Caenorhabditis elegans: one gene and its partner. The protein of the gene in region 2 interacts with the protein of the main gene of each other region in a pairwise test. Each region holds a gene or a part of one and is shown on either strand. Other genes may lie near its edges. The genes, in order: F13H10.1 and tln-1.

What was found.
Region 1: the proteins of tln-1 (region 2) and F13H10.1 interact in a two-hybrid assay, tested with the Caenorhabditis elegans proteins (one large-scale study listed by BioGRID).

The regions. Positions count from the first base shown.
Region 1 is NC_003282.8:11,002,373-11,005,666, reverse strand, and holds F13H10.1 (MADF domain-containing protein), read right to left. Parts: upstream 1,095-3,294; 5' UTR 1,083-1,094; coding exon 941-1,082; intron 896-940; coding exon 822-895; intron 764-821; coding exon 623-763; 3' UTR 598-622; downstream 1-597. Other genes in the region: F13H10.9 (uncharacterized protein), read right to left, coding at 1,866-1,970, 2,259-2,324, 2,375-2,482, 2,527-2,662, 3,099-3,247.
Region 2 is NC_003279.8:1,719,881-1,724,742, forward strand, and holds the start of tln-1 (FERM domain-containing protein), read left to right. Parts: upstream 1-1,711; 5' UTR 1,712-1,716; coding exon 1,717-1,849; intron 1,850-2,029; coding exon 2,030-2,579; intron 2,580-4,862.

The DNA of each region.
Region 1 (3,294 bases), on a different chromosome or scaffold from region 2:
TCGTTTAAACCAATAAGTTGAAAAATGCGGAAGTTTTATCTGTGTGATTTTTCATTTTAGAAGGTCGATATCGATACTGGGTATATATTATAAGACGAATAATAGTTCAACATTGCTGAATAGCACATTTGAAAATCAATCATAATTATAAATTTCTGAATGAAAGCTTTGGCAAAATTCCAATTTTTAAAAATGTGTGTTTCTTTAGAATTACAGTCTTTTGTCGCATTATCGATCATCTCCCCGGGCATTTAAAAACATAATCAACATATATTATTAATATTATTTTTAGTGGAACAATTTTTTGACCGATTTCCAAAGTAATGAGTTGCAAATACCCGCGTAAAAACTGTACAAAAATAATCATAAGGAATTTTGGTGAATTTAGCGCTGTTTGGATGGCTTACATTAGCAGGCCGATATAAATTGAGAAAACATTTTTCCAGAAAATCTACTTTCAGAACTTATTAGTTTATTATTTTCTTTCCCCAAAATTAAAAAAAACCTTTTTCCTGGCAATGATTGGATTTGAAAACTCACTTTATCACTACATTTGTAAGTTTCAAAATATCGTTTAGCAATATTAAATATTTAAAAAAAACAAAAAATATTTATTGCAGTTTCAGACGGAAGTTTCTGATGGTTTCGATATCAATAAAAGTTCATCTAATGTTGGTTTCAAGAAAATAGCAAGTGATTCAGCAACAAGAGTATCTGCCGGTGTAAAATCATCTTCTAGGGAAGGAACTTCAATTCGAAATTGCTGAAAATAAACATTTCGTTTGAAATTTATTTCTTGAAATTTAAATTGTTCTGCTCACCTCTAAACTTGCATTTCTATTCATAAATCGATGAAGCCGAATGAGATATTCCCATTGCATTTCAGCTTCCTTTGCTAAAAATCTGTTGGATATTATTTTCATATATGTGCAAAACTCACGAGAAATATCAAAAGTGTGCCCGAAATGAGCCCAAATTTCATTCATATGCTCACGAGATATATCAAATTCTCGATTTTTCCATATTGCTGGAGTAAGACGAATTTGTTCGATAAATTCTTCCAGTCTATTGTGATCCAACATTGCAACTATGAACTATTATTTTTAAAGTATAATTAAATCTTTAAAATGAAGATTTAAGTAAAGAAAAAAGACATGAAAACAAATTAAAAATGTGTGAAAGTGTCTGGAAAGTGGTGGACGCTCAAAGTGAATTCCTCAAGAGTTTTGTCATTCATTTTGGATGAAGAAGGAGTGGAAAAAAGGAGTGTCCTAACACTTCTCAACGACCATGCTTGCGCAAAAAAGTAAAAAAAGTTTTGAAGGCCCAAAAAGCAAACAGACTGGGAAAAGCTTGAACTTCTTGGAGACTCACCGATATGTATTTGTTTGTATTATGTTTGTTCTCACATGATATCGCATTTCGTTTTGCGCTGGGTTTCTACTAAATTGTACGTAAGATGCAAAAGTGTAATTGGAATTACTGTAAGATGAGATGGAAAAATGTCTGGTTTCCAATGACGAGATACTTATATCTTTTCTAATAGTCATGAACATAATTTTTGGGATTTGCCAGATAATTATTGAATGCAATGTGATATTTGAAAATTTCAAAATAATCGTTTGGATATGAAAACTTACAACAACTGACAATTGCCAAAAATTTTCAATCGCCGCCCACACCTGGTTTCACATATTTTATTAAATCAGAGTCTGCCTTTGTGACAATTACTATATATATTTTGAAGCTAAAAATATATTAGGAAATAACTTTATTTTTCAAGAAACAAGAGATCTTCCGTTTTTCCATCATGATATCGATTTCAAAAATGATATAGTTTTAGACATGGTGATAGCTAGTGATAATCATATTTTTTCCAAATTGATCGAACTGCTCAAACCCGGATTCAGATCAACTTCCATCGGGGATATTGTTTTTCGTGAACCATCAATGTTATTGAATACGTTTGTCTGAAAACAATTATTATTTTGCGAAATGTGGTGTTGAAATAATTCCATTATTTGATTTCATAGATTACATTGATTTCAAACTCTACTAAATTTATGTAAGCGCAATACTAACGGAGACTACAAGTTTTTATTATTATTTAGAAATAGTGATTTTCAACTTTCACGAAAAGTGGTTTCTTAAAATTTTTAATTGTTGAATTTGAAATCCAAAAAAAAGCGCAAGACTAAAAGAGACTGAAATACTAATTTTCAAAGCGTGTTAGAGTTCAATATTAATAGATTATGTACCTTTGAGTCATTCCTTTGCAATGAATCATTTGACATTGCTATCTCGGATATGGTGTCCAGCCGTTTCTAAAAATAAAAATCAACAAAACCGTTTAATTTTCAAAAAAGTTTCTTACATTTTTCGCAGCTTCTTCATCTCTAAATCTCTGTGCAATTCCAGTAGCTGCACCGGATCTTGAATTATTATTGGAAGCATTTGACACACCGGTTATTCGTTCTTCATACTGAAATCCATATTTATAATTTTTGTTCTTAATTAATAACTAACCTGTCCAATTGTTTCATGGCTTCTAGATGATTCTTCTCGATGAGATCTCACAGTATCCGTGGATTTTGAAATGTCTTTGATATTTAATCGATTCCCTGGTTTAATGCTTGCTTGAACCACGCCGTTCTTAGCTTGCCTGAAACATGAAAAAAATTGTATCAGTTTTTGAAATGAATATTTGCTTTGTTATAATTTTAGAAAACTAGATCACAATTTCAGTAGCACTCAGACAAACGCTTAGTAGTCTAATTAGATTTCAACCATATTTGTTTAGAAAATCCATATTGCATTATATTTGCTCCATATTAGATTAGAAATCCATGTTAGATTAGATTCCCTCCATATTTCATTAGAAAACAAATCTAATCCAATATGGTCGAAATCTAATCCAATATGGCACGATCTCAGCCATATTTGATTAGATTTCAACCATATTTGATTAGAAAATCCATATTGGATTAGAATAGGAAGCCTATTAATTATGTCCCCATTATATTTGCTCAGTTTCTAATCAAATATGGTTGAAATCTAATTAGACTACTAAGCGTTTGTCTGAGAATCAAAACCCTTACCCCTCCTCAAAATTCTGCAATTGGGTCGCTCGATCGTTCTTCTCCTCATTGGCTCGAACTTGATCTTGACGACATCTGCACATCCAAATACAGATACAACAGATTGAGAGAATCACACAGACGAGAACAATGACCGCTATCGATATTAACTGAAAAGATTGTGTAAGTACAAAGATAAGGACAAAGAGGATATTTT
Region 2 (4,862 bases):
TAAGTTGCAACATATATTACAAACGCGCTCTACTGACAATTTTTTCGAAAAGCACCGATTTTTGACATTCTTTACAAAAAAAGTAACCCAGAAAACTATGATTTATGCACCGGCGTTAATTTTTTGGATTTTTCATCACAAACGCGCTCCATTGATGATTTATCAACAATTTCTGATTTTTGACACCAAATTTTCATTAAAAGTTAGCTACTTTAAAAATTTACGGAATTACAAACGCGCCCCAATGAGAATTTATTGGAAATAACCAAGTTTTCAATTTTCAAGTGCATTCAAAGTCAGAAAAATGCGGAATATTTTTTATTTCTATATTCCTAAAATTTTTGAGTGTCCCATTTTGGTTTGATCTACAAAAAATGCGGGAGAACAGACGCAGACTTTTCAACTGATTGGTTACGAACGTGCTGACGTCAAATTTTCGAATTTTTCTGGAAGAAAAATTCCCGCAATTTTTGTAGATCAAACCGCAAACGCGCTCTTTTATAAAAATTTTCAAATTTCATATTCCTAGAGTCTCCAAAATTCTTCCAATTTTCTTTTATTTCATTTTCACGAAATTTTTTCATCCTAACCATTAAATGGGCGTGGCATATCCCAGAAACTAGTAAGCACTTCTCCGATGTTCTCTCACTATCCTTACTCAAAATGAATCATAAAAATGCAAATTCGTCAACATGAAACGGACAGTTAATGCATTTGAAAACGGAAGGAATGTGGCCTTGTCCCTCTAGTTCGCCCCCCCCCCCCCCCATCCGCCTTCCCATAGCTCAATGTGCACAAAGTGTGCTCTCCCCACGCAACCCGCCTACGATCATCTTTCTTCTTCTTCTTCATCTTCTGCTCCTTCTTGCCCTGATGCCTTCCTTTACACCCGACAAAAAGCTGTGTAAAAATGCCGCTGCCGGTTGGCATCTGTTGGAATCTCTAGAGACACACTATCTATTACATATGTTTCAACACCCTGAACTTTATCGATTTTTTAAAGATAGGACTGATAACAAATTCTGTGTCTCATTTTGGTTTGATCTACGTAGATCTACAAAAAATGCGGGAGAAGAGACGTAGAGTTCTCAACTGATTTGGCATGGTTGAGAACGTTCTGACGTCACATTTTTTAGGGCAAAAAATTCCCGCATTTTTTGTAGATCAAACCGTAATGGGACAGCCCCTGACACCACGTGTGTCTACCGTTCTCAAAAACGGATGATCCATTATTTTTTGTGAAACGTATAAAAATGCCCGAAAACAATTGCTAAATTTTCTGGACCAAAGCCTTTTTTCCTTTTCATGCGCCCAAACGTGGTCACACTCAAATTTTCAGTAGAGCGCGTTTGTATGGATGTACCACTTTCCGGGTCGTCACGTAGTTTTAAGCTGTCCCATTACGGTTCGATCTTCAAAAAATGCGGGAATTTTCTGCAAAAGAAATGAGACGTCAGCACGCTCTTAACCATGCGAAATCAGTTGAAAATTCTGCGTCCTAGCAACTCCCGCATTTTTTGTAGATCGACGCAAATCAAACGGGTCGTGTTTAGGAATATTCGGAAAAACATTTGAATAACCGTTTTTGAAATCTAAAAAGCTTCCAGATAAACCGCAAATCCTTTGTCGTAAATTGATTCCTTCAATTTCTTCTTTTCTTTTTTTTGAACTTCCCCCGCCAAACTTTCCTTATTATCAATTTTCTCTTCAGACACCATGGGAGTCCTCAGTCTGACGGTCTCGTCAGCCGAGAAGGGAATCAAGAAGACGATGCAGTTCGAGCCGTCCACACTTATATACGATGCCGCCAAGCTTATTAGGGAAAAATTCGCGATGCACGATGTTAATGGTAGGTGGCCTAGAAATTATACTCTTCCATAACAATTTGAAAAATGGGCGTGGCAACGCCTAACAAACCACGCCCAGATATGGACTAAGGATAATTTTTTTTCCTCCTTGGGACAAAAGTTGGCCCTATACAAAAATTAGAAAAAAAATCAGTTTTTGCCCAAAAAAATTTTTTTTGCAGCAAATGAATACGGAATCTTCCGGCTCGACGAGAACCCATCAAAATCACTCTGGATGGACAACGGGCGCACATTTGAGCACTATTTGGTGCGTAACAAGGACGAAATCGAGTACAAGCGGAAGATCCGTCTGCTCAAAGTTCGAATGCTCGACGGAGCCGTCAAAACGATCTCCGTTGACGAGTCACAGCCCGTGTCGCAGCTCATGATGACCGTCTGTAATAAGATTGGAATCTCGAATTACGAAGAGTACAGTCTTGTTCGAGACGATATTCTTATGCAGAACGGTGGCGGCGGCGGCGGCGGCGGCGGACAAAATGGAGGTTCCACGTGGAATTTGAAGGAGAAGGAGAGTAGATCAAAAAGCTCTGATCGTGGCGGCGGTGGAATCTATGGGACGATGAGAAAGAAGAATGAGCAAAAGTTGGAGGAGCTCCGCAAAAAGTTGCATACCGATGAGGAACTTCCGTGGCTGGACCATACGAAGACACTTCGAGAACAGGGGATTACGGAGGAGGAGACGTTGATCTTGAGGAGAAAGTATTTCTTTAGGTATGGAAATGCTAAGTTAACTGGCAGAATGCAGGATAGGGTGCTAAAATTACCAAATTGGTATCATAGTAAAACTTTGGAAAATGTTTTGAAAATTAGTATTCTGAACTAGGGCTCCCAGGCGCGAAATGCAGGCCCGTGTGTGTGTGTGTGTTTGTGCAATAAAGTTCGAAACGTAGTTATTTGGAAGCGGCCGACACATTCGTGGTTCCGCAGCTTGTCATAAGTAGCTTGGTGTGTGCGTAATTGCGCAACCCTGAAAGTGTCGGCCGCTTCCAAATAGCTTCCTTTTAGCACTACGTTGCGCAACGTAGTGCAAAATGTGAGTTATTTGGAAGCGGCCGACACGTTCGGGGTTCCGCGCCGCACTATCCATTCGGATTAATGCGGCGACCTCATGGGAGTCCTGTTCTGAACATAAGTCGACTATTGTGAATTTTTATCCGAAAAAAAAAAAAAAAAATTACAATTTTTTGTAAAAATTCACAATTTTAAAACTCCTTTAAAATGGCTAATTTTGTAGTAAGAGAACTCAAAATTGATCTCCGAACCCTAAAAATTGGTCCTTTTTTAGAAAATAGTAGTTTCAAACATTTTCAGAAACATTTTTTTTTTGTCCAAAAAAGGACAGTCATTAGATAGCTGAAAAAACAAATTGGGCAAAAATAAAAAATTGCCTAAATTTATTTAAAACGGGTAATTCATATATGCTGAATTCAGCAAATCTAGGTTTAACCCATCAAAAACTATTAAAAAGTAGCAAAAATGGGCAATTTTTGGTAAAAATCACAATTTTGAAACTCCTCTAAAATGGTTAATTTTGTAGTGAGAAGACTCAAAATTCACTCAAAAACCCAAAAAAGGACAGTTTTTTGCCCAAAAAAAAATGTTTCCTGAAAATGTTCCAAACTATTAGAAATTGAAAAAGGACAATTTTTTAGATGGCTGAAAAAAAATTGGACAAAAAAAAATAATAAGTTGTCTGAATTTGTTGAAAACGGGTAAAATATTAGGTTGGTCGAAAAGTCTTTGCAAAATTTTGATTTTTTTTTGGAAGTAGTATTTTTTCAAAGCGAACAAGATTCAATGGGTAATATATTTACCATTAATGCCTATGACTTCTTGCCAACACAACGGAAGTTGAACAGTACCCTCCGCCTAGAACTCCTGCGATTAGGAGGCAAAGAAGTCGTCCAACCCCGTTTCGACGACCTTTCGATCATGAAACTTCTGCCCGGCAAGGTGATTCTGGAGTGAGCGGAACAGATGGTAGTCAGTAGGAGCCAAGCCCGGCGAATACGATGGGTAAGATAAAATTTGGATTCCGACTGTCTGGAGCTTCTGGCGGGTCTTAAAAGTTGTATGCGGTCTTGCGTTGTCATGGAGCAGCAACAACTTTGATCCTCTAGGGCGATGTAATCGATGAGCATGGACCATCTTTTCCAATTAAATGCAGTATAGGCCAGCGTTGATTGTAGCAAAGTCTGGAAGAAGCTCTCTGGAAATGACACCCTTACTGTCCCGCCCAATTGAGAGAAGCACTTTTTTCCGTGAAGTTCTAATTTGAGGTCAGGTGTCGCGGTTTCCTCGACCGGGACCCACTCTTTTTTCCTGGTATGGCTAACATACAATACCCATTTATCATTTCCAGTAATGATATCCTTAACCCAGTCCGTTGTTCGTTTCCTAGTGAGCAGCGAAAGAGAGAGGTCACAAAACAATTTTTCTGAGAATCGGGCAAATTGTGAGGAACGAGTTGACCGAACTTTTCTACCCTTCCGGTTTCGTGGAGATGGTTGATGATGGTTTTTTGGGGATGCTTGAGAGTCGCAGAAAGTTCGCGGTTCGTTGCTCTTGGATCATCTTCCAGGGCTCTCGAAATATCCTCGTCGATATTCAAACGAGAGCGATCTTATCTTGGTTTATCATCGAGATCGTAGTTCTTTTTCGTGAACTTTTCGAACCAAAACTTCATGGTATTATAGGTGACAGAGTTCTTGCCTAACACTGCACACATGTTACGACGAGCTTCGTTGCAATTGCAGATTTGGGGGAACTCGTACAGAAAAACCCATCGGAGGGCGTGACGTTCGGCGAGCAAATTCTCGGTCATTTTGAACAGCACCCAAAAGTTTTTTTTAAATATATTAAACATGCACATTACGTACTATGCAAATAAAAAAACAGAATCAGAAAAAAAATGAATTAACGCTGAGAAATGAAGAAAAGTACAAATTTTGCAAAGACTTTTCGACCAACCTAATATATATGCTGAATTTAGAT